3 linked regions of the Xenopus tropicalis genome follow. The protein of the gene in region 1 interacts with the protein of each later gene in a pairwise test. Links are inferred from orthologs where the notes say so. Each region holds a gene or a part of one and is shown in the gene's direction. Other genes may lie near its edges.

Region 1 (4,056 bases):
ATATATCACATTGATTGACATTAACAATTCTAATGTATGTAAAGCTTTTGTTTTTGGTCAGGTTAAGCATTGGTTTGCTTCCTATTACTTAGTCCAATCTGCCAAGTCTATGGAAGGGACACTTTCGAAAATCGAGTAAGATGGAGGAGCAGCACTGCTTAAGAAAGTTTCCTAAAGTGGTGTATTTTTTTCTGAAAAGCAGCACCAAGGGGTAAAAATCATGCTTGATCCCCATGTTATTATTAGGGAAGAAAGATAAATACATGAGAAGGGTTATCATTTTTTCCAGAACAGATGGCACCAATACCCCTGCAGCAACTACTACCTGTTTGCTAGGGTAAATTGAACCCTACAAACCAGATAGCTTCTGAAATTCCAAACTGGAGAGCTGCTCAACAAAAAACTAAATAATTCAAAAACTGCAAAAAAAAAAAACAAAAAACAAACTAAGACTTATTGCAAATTGTCTAAGAATAGCACTGAGTAAAGGTAAACGTTAATTTTAAAGTGAATTACACAGACACACAGAGCTACTTAGTAGCAGCTACTTGTCAGGGCTACTAAATGGCATAAAATACCCCGCCTTAGACAATACAGAGAATTGCCTCTGCTAAAACACAAGTAGAGACAATTATCAGTAATGGTCAGCACTGTCTAGTTTTGTAGCAGTGACAAGTAGCTGCTTCTAGTAGCTCTGTGTGTCTTCACCCTCTAAAATTCCGCAGGTGCGAGCATGTGAGTGCCAAGGGATAAAAATATAAACATATAAGGAAAATAAATAGAAGCTACTTTATTAATAAAATGTATCTGTCAGGGGAAGAAGGAACACTAGGTAGATGGACAAGGGGAATGGAGGAAATACGAATTGGCTGCTATATTTGTTCCTATAGACAAGCAGTTAGACAGTAAGACGTTACATTATGCAAGTCAATTAATGTAAGAAGAGTAAAACTATTGGTTAACTAGAGTCAGCCCTGTTCCACATTATTCCGCATCTGAACAGCAGAACAGAACTGCATTGCCTACACTGCAGAGTAAACATTCTCCCATGATGTCTTGCGGCTCCGCACGGCCTCCGAAGCCTGGCGGAAGCTTTGTAAGGGCTAAATAATGATAATTGCGAAGGCCTCCGCACACGCATGCGCCGAGCACTTCCTAGTTTACTGTAAGGGCGCGCAGTGCTTTACGGGGCCGAGCACCTCCTGCACAGGCAGTAGCAGCGCCAGCCTGGTCATCCGGATCCTCCCACAACACGACGACAAGCGGCCGGGATATGAAGCGGCCCTGATCCTGCGCTGAGGGGCGATACTGACTTATAGAATCTCTGCAGGGACCGAAGGGAGAGATTCCCTGCCAACACTAATCATGAGTAACAATATCGGCCCTAATAATAACAACAACAGGCAGACCAAAAGGGTGACAAACAGCGGCTCCATACTGCTCACCGCGCAGGAAAATGAAAGTCTCTTTAGTTACCTGGGCAAGAAGTGTGTGGTGAGTGCGGCCCGGTTGTCTTTTATTCAAATGGGGGCAGTTCGCCAGTTGTTTTAGGACTACAACTCCCACCCCTAGTAGGCTGATTGGTACAGGGAATTGTAGTTTAGCAGCTGGAGGGCCGCAGGGTGCCAAGTCTTATTTTATGTTTCCTTGTATGCTGGGCAAGGGTGGCTACTGCCCTCCGTGTCTAAACCTCCTGGGCTGCTTTTTATTCTAGGATATTTTTCTAACCTGTAGTACTCCGGTTGTCCAGCTGCTACTTTTACCCCCCAGCAGTCAGTGGCTGCCGAATGATGGTCATTTTATTTAACAGGTTGAAAGTGGCAGCTTGCTGGTTTGGTATATACCAGGCATAGGGCAACTCGGCTAATATATTTCTGCCCTATTTCCATTGGCTGTACACAGTGCTTGGGGTGCCATTACTAACCAAGGTATTGCCCTTTCTTTAGCTAAAGCCCTTCCTGCTTGTTGAACTATTACCTTAGAGTTACTGATAACCACAATTATGGTTTGGTTTGAATTCCTCAGTAGCCAGATATACATATAACCTAATTGCCCTGCTGTTGACCAGCTATAACCAGCATTCTTAGCTAGCCAGACACAGGAAGTTATAACTACAACTACAGCAAAAGTTCCTAAATGTGTTAAAAGTGCTGTATTGTACAAGATACATTAGTGCGAATTTGCTGTTTTTTGATATTCTGCTATAGTATTGATGTGTGGTAATTACAGTAAATGACAATGAATGTTTGTTACTCTTTTGATATTTTTCTTGTTTGTATGTAGCATATTTTTGTGGTGCCCATTTAATCATTTAAAAATAAACAAATATATAGATACAGGTTCATTGACTACTGACTGAATTGACTTTAGTGTGTGAATATAATGTGAATGGTATAGAATTTTTTTTTATTTAAGACTCTATTAAGAATTTTTAAAACTCTGTACTAAGTACTATTAAACTCAGTTTTTATATAGTAATTAATGGCATTTTCTGTATATATCACTTTGCATCTCATATCCCCTTTTCGGTTCAGTTCGGTAGCTGTACTGAGCAGGTCCCTCTTTACCTCCTGTATCACTCAGTAATTGTTTCTAAATTTTGTATGTTTGATGTATGGCTGTTTATAGATGCTTGTTAATAATAAATAGTAATGATACATCTTTTATTGTCTTTGTCTTGCCCGATTGCTAAATATGGATGCATTCATATGGTACTGTAGGTTGCCCACAAAGGTTCTAGCACTGAATAAATGTTTGTTTAGTTGTATCAGAACTTTGTGTTTGTTGTGTTAGCCTTGGCAGCTGTATGGAAGTTAATACTACATGGAAATTTGTCTCAGAATAATCACAGTGAATCTCAGTTTTTTGGAAAGCACACTATACTGGTGAATCTCCCCCACATTGTACAATAGTGATAGCTTGACCGACATTTATTCATTCCATTTTCTCTGATAGAAGATAATGCTGGGACATTTTTACAGCAATGTTGTTGTGAAAAGTTATGGCACATTAAATGAATCCTTGGAGCTTTTTTTTTCATTATACTTATATTTTATTATATCTTTTAAAGATTTGCTTCCTAGTTTCTTTGACAGTATCTGATGCTGTAGTGCTGTTACTGTAGGAACAGAAAGCTAGCTTTCCATTGCTTAAAATGTTAGGCATCCCCAAGTGACTTTAATCACCTACCTTGTACCCTGGGCTGGTGCCCCTTTTAGGAGAAAACAGCCCGGGGTACCTGTAGCAAGCGCTTCCTGCTTCCTTTTCCGGCAAATGCCAGTGGTCGGCCCATGTGCAGTAGAGTGAAAAGCCGACTTTTCTGTTAAAGTTCGGCTTTTCGCTCTACTGCGCACGCGAAGCAGCAAGGAGGAAGCGCTGCAGCTACCCCAGGCTAGTGCTGTTCTCTCCGAACAGGGGCACCATCCCAGGGTACAAGGTAGGCGATTTAAGTCACTTGGGAGTGCCTAACATTTTGGCACCCCCAAGTGACTTTGCCTTTCGTTCTCCTTTAAAGAACTCATACACTCAGTATTCCTAGGTTGGCTTTGCTTTCAGAAGGATGCTGGATATTGTAGGTCCAAAGCAGCTGAAATTCAGAAGGATGCTTTTGATTGGTGGTATTGTTACCTGTCTGTTTTGTTCTTTTTAGCATTGTTTTACAGTTACCGTAAAGCAGTGATCCCCAACCAGTGGTTCAGGAGCAACATGTTGCACCCCCAAGCCCTTGGATATTGCTCCCAGTGGCCTCAAAGCAGGTGCTTATTTTTGAATTTCTGGCTTGGATGCAAGCTCTGGTTGCATAAAAACCAGTTGTACAGAGCCACATTTAGGCTGCCAGTCCACATAAAGACTACCAAACAGCTATTCACAGCCCTTATTTGGCACCCTCATGAACATTTTTTAATGCTTGTGTTGCTCCTCAACCCTTTTTACATTTGAGTGTGGCTCACGGGTAAAAAAAGGTAGGGTATCCCTGCCGTAAAGGCTTCTGCAGTCTTTCCTTCTTCACAAAATTTATATATGGTTCATTTCAGGCAGTGGTCACATTCCCCCTTA
Region 2 (4,097 bases), on another chromosome or scaffold:
CTTCAATCAGTTCCCGGATATCTTAAAAAAACAAAAACAAAAGATAATTATTTTCACTGTTAGACTAGAGAAAATGCACTTTCATCCGAAGCAATACAAATAGTTATTTCACAGGGGACTGGTTAGACTGTAGAATGCTCTACTTGGTGAAGCAGAGATAACTTTATCAAACAGGACTATGAAACATTTTTATTGGCACACCTGTGTTACATTATTCTATTTGTAATATTTAAGCAAACAGCATTTAATAGTTATTTCTCCACTAAGATAATCTGACATATGTAAGGGAGTGGTTTACCAGCCAATACAGGATAATCAAAATGCTCAGCTGCAGGATCCAGATTAACCACTTGGACAGATCGGTTCAAACTCCCACAGTGCTGCACCATGGTGGAACAATAAGTGCTCTGAAATACAAAGATTAATAATCACCATCTGCCAAAAAGATGTAATTAAAAAAAAATTCTACTGTTGTAATATATTAGACACACATAGGTCTATACATATGCCAAGGCTCCTTTGTGGCATTCTAGACTTGCTCATATGCAATACATAAAATTAGAAAACCTTATGTGATACTGACACCAAAAAAAAAAACCTTACCTATTTTTTATGTACATAAAAACTTACCTATAGGTCATGTTGGTCATATTTTACTGATAGGCTGCTTTTGTAAGGAATTGCTACTTTAAGGGCCTAAACCTGACTATTTTGCCAACCTGACTGTCCCTTTTCAACCTATTGGAATTTACAGTTACAGACTATTGCTGCACAAATATGGCAGCCTCCTTCTAGAGGTACTGGTAACGTAAAAGCATTTTAAAAAGAAAGTATACAGCTCATGCAAAGACAATGTTATAAGCTATTAAAAACAGTTTAATTGTAGGTGTCAGTATATAGTCAGTATATAGTTAGTACTGCGCACATGCCTAGGCATCCTACTGTAATTATTATTTTACTTTCTTTTAATAGCAAACAAGAGAGGTCTCTTCTTCAGGCTCCAGGAAAAACTGGAAAAGGGATCCCGAACTGCAGAAATCTTACACTGTAATACTGCTCTATAGTTACCCATTAAAGGTATGATACAAATCCACAATTTTGAGAGACCAAACCCAGAAATTACCTTTCCGCTGCCGGCGGGCCCCATAACGAGCTGTGCATATCGCGGCATTCTCCTTGCATCAGACTTGAAAACTGCCCAGGTGATCCAATAAGGAGCAAGAACACCTAGTTCCCCACAGTCCCTTTGCAATAAGACATGCCGGAAGCGCCTCCTTGCCTGTAATGCTGCCTAGTAGTCGCGCTGCTGTACTTCCGGGACGCTTTGCTACGGACGCCTCACCTTCCCTGCGATTAAGCTGGCGCCCTCTAGCGGCCATGAGACGCACTAGCTGTGCTAATGTTATAACTTCCTGCTTGCGAAGCCTTGGGTGGGACAGCGGAAGTACAGATACTACAACGTTTGGTCTCCCGGATTCCTTTCAAATATTCAGGGGTGTTAAAGATGCCGGTGAGTTTTTTCTTTTTCCTGCGTATTCTATGCTGCGTTGGAGCAGCCGGATCTCGGGGCAGGAGGCGAACTGGGGTAGAGCAGGGCTTGCCCGCCGGTACCTGCATTACTTAGAGCCAATGGCCATAATGATAAGATTCGGTGTTGCCAATGTCTGGGGCCCAGTGCAGGTACGCTTCCGCGTTAGCATTGCCGGCTGCACCGCGGCCCCCAGAATCCCTACAGCTAAGGGCTCATTGTATGTTCTGTATGTTGCCTTTTAGTCTTATGAACACACCAGCGATTGACTGTATGTGATCTCTCTGGCGCTGGTAAGGCAGAACGCCCCCACTACCGTGCCAGTGCCAGTGCCCACGTATATATATTGAAGGAATTGCCTAGAGATGAAATGAGGGTGGATCGCTGGGCTTTTTCTTTCTACCTGTTTCATGTGATCTTGCGCAAGGATCTCTCATTGCTTCCCCAGCGCTCCTATCATATGTAACACGGTCACAGAACTGCCATACGGTATTATTTTATTTGTGATGGGATAGGGGTGGGCTACAGCTAGTCAGGCCACTACTTGCCCTGCAGATTGTGCAAAAAGGGGAAGAGTGTTAGTCATGCAGGAAGTGGCTGGGGCCGACACACGGGAGGCATTTGCTTAGCTGTCAGCTACATTGCTGCAACCCAACTCATACACTTTAGCAGCCATACACAGTGTTTCATTTTCAGATTGCGAAACGTTCTATAATTAGGTAAATGCATTTTCTTTTATCCTCAGACATAAATATAGCAAGGCCTTCTAGAAAATATGTATATGATGTACTGTTCCATAAATATTATATGACTGCTTAAAAGTTGTGTGTAGATACATGAAAATGAGCTCCTAATTGCATCCAAATCCCCTGGTTTGATGTTAAATACTCTTTAAAAATTCAGATCTGTATAACCCAACTTGCAGACAAATTACTAAGCTACTGCCAAGATCGGTGTCAGTTTTTGGAACATGGCTTCTGTTGTAGAGTTTGGGATGTATTCAGAATAACCAGTAAGGGCTAAAAGGATCCAAAAGCCATCCCTTGTGGAATAAACATGATACACTTCCCCAATTGAGTTTTTAAGACTTCTTTAATGGAAAACTATACCTTCAGAACAAATACTTCACAAACAGATAATTTACTTACTTATAAGTAAATATTACCATCTAACATATTCTAGGGCAGTGCTGTCCAACTTCTGTTGTACCGAGGGCCGGAATTTTTCTTGCCTACATGGTGGAGGGCCGATAATGGAAGACACTTTTGACCACTCCCCTTTTTTAAACCACACCCACTTCAAACTACACCCATGCTATCACAAGAGCTTTTAAGACCATCCCCACATTAATGGTGGCAACACAGCAAAAACCCAATGGTTGGTGCTCACTGAAGGGATATCACCCTTAATTTATATATGAAAGAATTATATTATGTATTATACACTTAAATCGATATGCCTCCTCCTCTTCTGTGGATAGCACAGCAACCCCCCAGCATATAATTACACCCCTTGGGGACCATATAATGACTATATCCAAATGCCAAACTCCAGGAACAAACCCCTGCCAGGTTCACCTTCCACAGGCAGCATAGGGCAGGGAGAGTATGGCACACACAGGCAGCATAGGAAAGGCAGAGTATGGCACGCACTGGCAGCATAGGGAAGGCAGAGTATGGCACACACAGGCAGCATAGGGGAGGCATAGAGCAGGCAGAGTACTGCTTGCCCTACCCCTCCTGTGTGTGCCATACTCTGCCTGCCCTCCCCTGCCTATGTGTGCCATACTATGCTTGCCCTCCCCTGCCTATGTGTGCCATACTATGCCTGCCCTCCCCTGCCTATGTGTGCCATACTATGCTTGCCCTCCCCTTCCTATGTGTGCCATACTATGCTTGCCCTCCCCTGCCTATGTGTGCCATACTATGCCTGCCCCCCCCTGCCTATGTGTGCCATACTATTCCTGCCCACCCCTTCCTATGTGTGCCATACTATTCCTGCCCTCCCCTGCCTATGTGTGCCATACTATGCCTGCCCCCCCTGCCTATGTGTGCCATACTATGCCTGCCCACCCCTGCCTATGTGTGCCATACTATTCCTGCCCTCCCCTGCCTATGTGTGCCATACTATGCTTGCCCTCCCCTGCCTATGTGTGCCATACTATGTTTGCCCTCCCCTGCCTGTATGTGCCATACTATGCCTGCCCCCCCGCCTATGTCTGCCATACTATTCCTGTCCACCCCTGCCTATGTGTGCCATACTATTCCTTCCCACCCCTGCCTATGTGTGCCATACTATGCCTGCCCTATTGCACACACAGGCAGCATACAGTGACACAATGCTGGATGTGTCAGAGGGAATGTCTGAGGTGTGAACAGGGGAACAATGTGGGTGATTACAGCCAGAGCCTGAGGTGTGAACACTGCAGGGGGAAAACAATGAAGGCATTAAAAGGTGTGAACAGTACAGGGGATTACATGATTAAACAATACAGGGGGATTACAGCCTGAATCTGAGGTGTGAGCAATGCAGGGGGCAGTTAATCTCAGTACTGATACCATTTAAAGGT
Region 3 (4,265 bases), on another chromosome or scaffold:
GCCTCCAGCCTCCTGGGGCAAATCATTGAGGGTCAGCTTGTTGGCGCGGGGGGGGGGGGAAGATGGGGAGAAGGAACCAGGGCACCCATAGTCTTACCCAAACCAGAGGGGGGGGGCAGCTGTAAAGGTTCTACAGGCAGGTAAGTGGCCCTTGGATTCTCACTAAAGAGAGGTTTTGCCCACGAGCCAATAAAAGAAGAGGGATGAGTGGGCAGGGCGGCATTATCATTGGACCACAGTGTCACATGGTGCCACGGTCTCCCGCGGGGGCTACTGATCCAATGCTCGCACCCACTGAGGATGGAAATAAAGGACTGTAACATAAATACCTGGAACTGCCGCAATCACCCCAAGCTGGGGCATATTTATTATAGTGTGTAGGGCAACATCATCGGTAACGTTGCCCATAGCAACCAATCAGATCTTTGCTTTTGTAGGCGACCATTAAATTCTAATTGCTGATTGGTTGCTATAGGCAACATCACTGGTGTCTGCGTTTCATGAGGGGTGGGCGTGTCCTAACGGTCCCTGCCAGAAGCACAGTAGGAGGGGGAGAGCCAATCACAGCCCTGCACTCACACAAGCACAGACAGGCTTCAGTTCCCTATCAGGTCAGCCTAGCTGCTGATTGGTTCCTATCCTACAGTGCCGCCGCCCCCCTGCACAGCCTGGGAAAGGAGGCGGCAGGAAGTGGCACAGATGGGCGGGGCTAGTGGGGTTTTGGTGGAATTTCTCAATAAATCAGCCCTTGCAGAGAGATTTATACTGCTGGAAGAGGCAGCTATCTGGTTGTTAGGGTCCAATTGAATTTAGCAACCAGGCAGTGCTTTGAAGGAGAGACTGGAATATGAATAGGGTCAGAGGCCTAAATAGAAATGTAATAATGAAAAGTAACAATAAAACTGGAGCCTCACAGAGCAATAGGGTTTGGCTGCCGGGGTCAGTGACCCCCATTTGGAAGCTGCAAAGAGTCAGAAGAAGGGAAATAATTACACAAGTAGACAAAAATAAAAACAAAATGAAGACCAATTGAAAATTTGCTAAGAATATACTATTCCGTAACACCCCAAGCTGAACAAACCCAATAACGGGGCGGGAAATGTCGGAATTCTCGCGAGATTACAGTGACGTCGCGCCAAAGCGGCCAATCAGGATCGGCGTCAGCGCAAGAGCTAAAGGGACGGTTTAAACGCAGAATATTGTATTAAACATCACTAATCCGTGAGAGCGGGCGGCGCGGTGTAACGGGAGGGATTCCCGCACCTCATACATACGGTTTATATACAGTTTCTATACGGTTCATAGACGCTCGGAGTGAGGGACGCGGCGCATCACGTGTGCATGACGTCCCCGGAGGCCGAAGCGCCGCTTGGACCCAACAGCGACCCGTACCCAGACCTTACACAGATGGCGCTCGATTGTTCCTGCCTGCGGGCGGCGGGTGAATAACTCGGGCTGCGGTTGGTCGGGGCTGTGCGGATAGGCGGCCGTTGTACATCTCGGTTTATCTGGCTGCTCCGGGGCGAAGGGCCGGGCCCCTGACATGGCGGACGGAGGCCCCGGGATGTGTTGGTACCTGAGGCGCTGCGGGAGGAGCGAGGAGTCGCTGCCATTGCCTGACGGGGAGGAGGTGAGGGCGGGGCCTGTAGCAGCCAAACAGTCCGGGGGGCTTAGGGGAGTTTGGGGGGGCAGGGCTCTTGGAGGAACAGAGAGGGCGCTGTGGGGGGGGGGGGCTGTTCCCTGGGGGGCACTGTGGGGGGGGCTGTTCCGTGGGGGGCACTGTGGGGGGGGCTGTTCCGTGGGGGGGGGGCTGTTCCCTGGGGGCACTGTGGGGGGGCAGTTTCCTGGGGGCACTGTGTGGGGGGGGGCTGTTCCCTGGGGGCACTGTGTGGGGGGGGGGCTGTTCCCTGGGGGCACTGTGTGGGGGGGGGCTGTTCCCTGGGGGCACTGTGTGTGGGGGGGGGCTGTTCCCTGGGGGCACTGTGTGGGGGGGGGGGCTGTTCCCTGGGGGCACTGTGTGGGGGGGGGGCTGTTCCCTGGGGGCACTGTGTGGGGGGGGGGCTGTTCCCTGGGGGCACTGTGGGGGGGCAGTTCCCTGGGGGCACTGTGTGGGGGGGGGGGCTGTTCCCTGGGGGCACTGTGTGGGGGGGGGGCTGTTCCCTGGGGGCACTGTGTGGGGGGGGGGCTGTTCCCTGGGGGCACTGTGGGGGGGCAGTTCCCTGGGGGCACTGTGTGGGGGGGGCTGTTCCCTGGGGGCACTGTGTGGGGGGGGGCTGTTCCCTGGGGGCACTGTGTGGGGGGGGGCTGTTCCCTGGGGGCACTGTGGGGGGGGCAGTTCCCTGGGGGCACTGTGGGGGGGCAGTTCCCTGGGGGCACTGTGGGGGGGGCAGTTCCCTGGGGGCACTGTGGGGGGGCAGTTCCCTGGGGGCACTGTGGGGGGGCAGTTCCCTGGGGGCACTGTGGGGGGGCAGTTCCCTGGGGGCACTGTGGGGGGGCAGTTCCCTGGGGGCACTGTGGGGGGGCAGTTCCCTGGGGGCACTGTGTGGGGGGGGGCTGTTCCCTGGGGGCACTGTGGGGGGGCAGTTCCCTGGGGGCACTGTGGGGGGGCAGTTCCCTGGGGGCACTGGGGGGGGGCAGTTCCCTGGGGGCACTGTGGGGGGGCAGTTTCCTGGGGGCACTGTGGGGGGGGGGGGAGGAAGGTTTGGGGGAGAGACCCTTGGTTGGGGGAAACTTGGGGTGCAGAGAGCATTATGAGTTTGGGTGGGGGAGCCCAGAGAATTGACCCCCCAGTGATTATATCGGTCTGTGCGTCTCATTCATTTCTCTGTTTGTGTTCAGGTCACTATGGGCCGAGGCCTGGGGGTCACCTACCAACTGAAACCCACCCTGTGCCCCCTCATGATCTCCCGCACCCACTGTCTCTTCAAGCAGAACGTCCGGGGCGAGTGGACTGTGACTGATAACAAGGTACCTGCACCCCCAGATACACCCCCTACTGTGTCTGTGAGGGGCTGTTCCTGCTGAATTGTAATTAGTACAGGGGAATCCCTATGTGCCATAGTTTTATGGTATCTCTCTGTACAGGCTATGAGCAAACTTAGGAGGCTGTTCCTGCTGAATTGTGCTTAGTACAGGGGAATCCCTATGTGCCATAGTTTTATGGTATCTCTCTGTACAGGCTATGAGCAAACTTAGGGGGCTGTTCCTGCTGAATTGTGCTTAGTACAGGGGAATCCCTATGTGCCATAGTTTTATGGTATCTCTCTGTACAGGCTATGAGCAAACTTAGGGGGCTGTTCCTGCTGAATTGTGCTTAGTACAGGGGAATCCCTATGTGCCATAGTTTTATGGTATCTCTCTGTACAGGCTATGAGCAAACTTAGGGGGCTGTTCCTGCTGAATTGTGCTTAGTACAGGGGAATACCTATGTGCCATAGTTTTATGGTATCTCTCTGTACAGGCTATGGGCAAACTTAGGGGGCTGTTCCTGCTGAATTGTGCTTAGTACAGGGGAATCCCTATGTGCCATAGTTTTATGGTATCTCTCTGTACAGGCTATGGGCAAACTTAGGGGGCTGTTCCTGCTGAATTGCCCAGGAGTAGTAACCCATAGCGGCCAAGCAGCAATCAATGGACTCTGTATAATTTGTAGGGTTGTGGTTGGGGGGGTGCAGGCTCTGCAGTTGGGCGGGGCTGGGTATGACTGGGCGGGGCTGGGTATGACTGGGCGGGGCTGGGTATGACTGGGCGGGGCTTTGCTTTCCTATTCAGCCCAGTCTGGTGCTTTCATTTCCTGCACTGTTGCAATGTCTCTCCCTTCCCAGAGTCTGAATGGGGTTTGGAGGAACAAGGAGAGACTGGAGCCCCACAAGGCCTACACCCTGAGCGAGGGGGCCCTCATCCAACTGGGGGTGCCCCCACCCAACGCGGAAAGTGCTGAGTTTGAGTACAGGTTGGTCCGGGAGCATCTGGACAAGGTGTCGGGCTCTGTAATGCGGCCGCTGCCCGGCAAGGCCAAAGCCCCGAGGGCCAAGCGCAAATTCACCGCGGAGGAGGCCGACGCCTCGGGAAATGAGGGTCCGTCCAAGTTGTGCCGGGTCTCCAGGGGGGGCGAGGCCTCGACCAAATCCTCCCGCCCCCCTCCCCTGGTCACGCAGCCTACGGTCAGGGCGGGGCCCACGCTCCCTGGGGTGGAGCCTGAACTCAATGACTCTCTGGATGCCGATGCGGTGGCCCCCACCCAGCGCCAGTGCCGCAGCAGCCTG

What was found.
Region 2: the proteins of wasl (region 1) and arpc3 interact in binary tests that used the Homo sapiens proteins (3 or more experiments, as listed by UniProt). The two-hybrid records come from large-scale screens. The link is inferred for Xenopus tropicalis from reciprocal best matches to the Homo sapiens genes WASL and ARPC3.
Region 3: the proteins of wasl (region 1) and rnf8 interact in binary tests that used the Homo sapiens proteins (3 or more experiments, as listed by UniProt). The two-hybrid records come from large-scale screens. The link is inferred for Xenopus tropicalis from reciprocal best matches to the Homo sapiens genes WASL and RNF8.

Annotation. Positions count from the first base shown.
Region 1 is NC_030679.2:70,363,222-70,367,277, reverse strand, and holds the start of wasl (neural Wiskott-Aldrich syndrome protein), read left to right. Parts: upstream 1-1,256; 5' UTR 1,257-1,365; coding exon 1,366-1,494; intron 1,495-4,056. UniProt on the Homo sapiens protein: Regulates actin polymerization by stimulating the actin-nucleating activity of the Arp2/3 complex. Involved in various processes, such as mitosis and cytokinesis, via its role in the regulation of actin polymerization.
Region 2 is NC_030677.2:162,793,703-162,797,799, reverse strand, and holds the start of arpc3 (actin-related protein 2/3 complex subunit 3), read left to right. Parts: upstream 1-1,297; 5' UTR 1,298-1,504; coding exon 1,505-1,510; intron 1,511-4,097. Other genes in the region: gpn3 (GPN-loop GTPase 3), read right to left, coding at 1-21, 299-407, 1,124-1,171. UniProt on the Homo sapiens protein: Component of the Arp2/3 complex, a multiprotein complex that mediates actin polymerization upon stimulation by nucleation-promoting factor (NPF).
Region 3 is NC_030681.2:2,801,102-2,805,366, forward strand, and holds the start of rnf8 (E3 ubiquitin-protein ligase RNF8), read left to right. Parts: upstream 1-1,465; 5' UTR 1,466-1,543; coding exon 1,544-1,630; intron 1,631-2,838; coding exon 2,839-2,967; intron 2,968-3,824; coding exon 3,825-3,883; coding exon of another isoform or gene 3,884-4,265. UniProt on the Homo sapiens protein: E3 ubiquitin-protein ligase that plays a key role in DNA damage signaling via 2 distinct roles: by mediating the 'Lys-63'-linked ubiquitination of histones H2A and H2AX and promoting the recruitment of DNA repair proteins at double-strand breaks (DSBs) sites, and by catalyzing 'Lys-48'-linked ubiquitination to remove target proteins from DNA damage sites.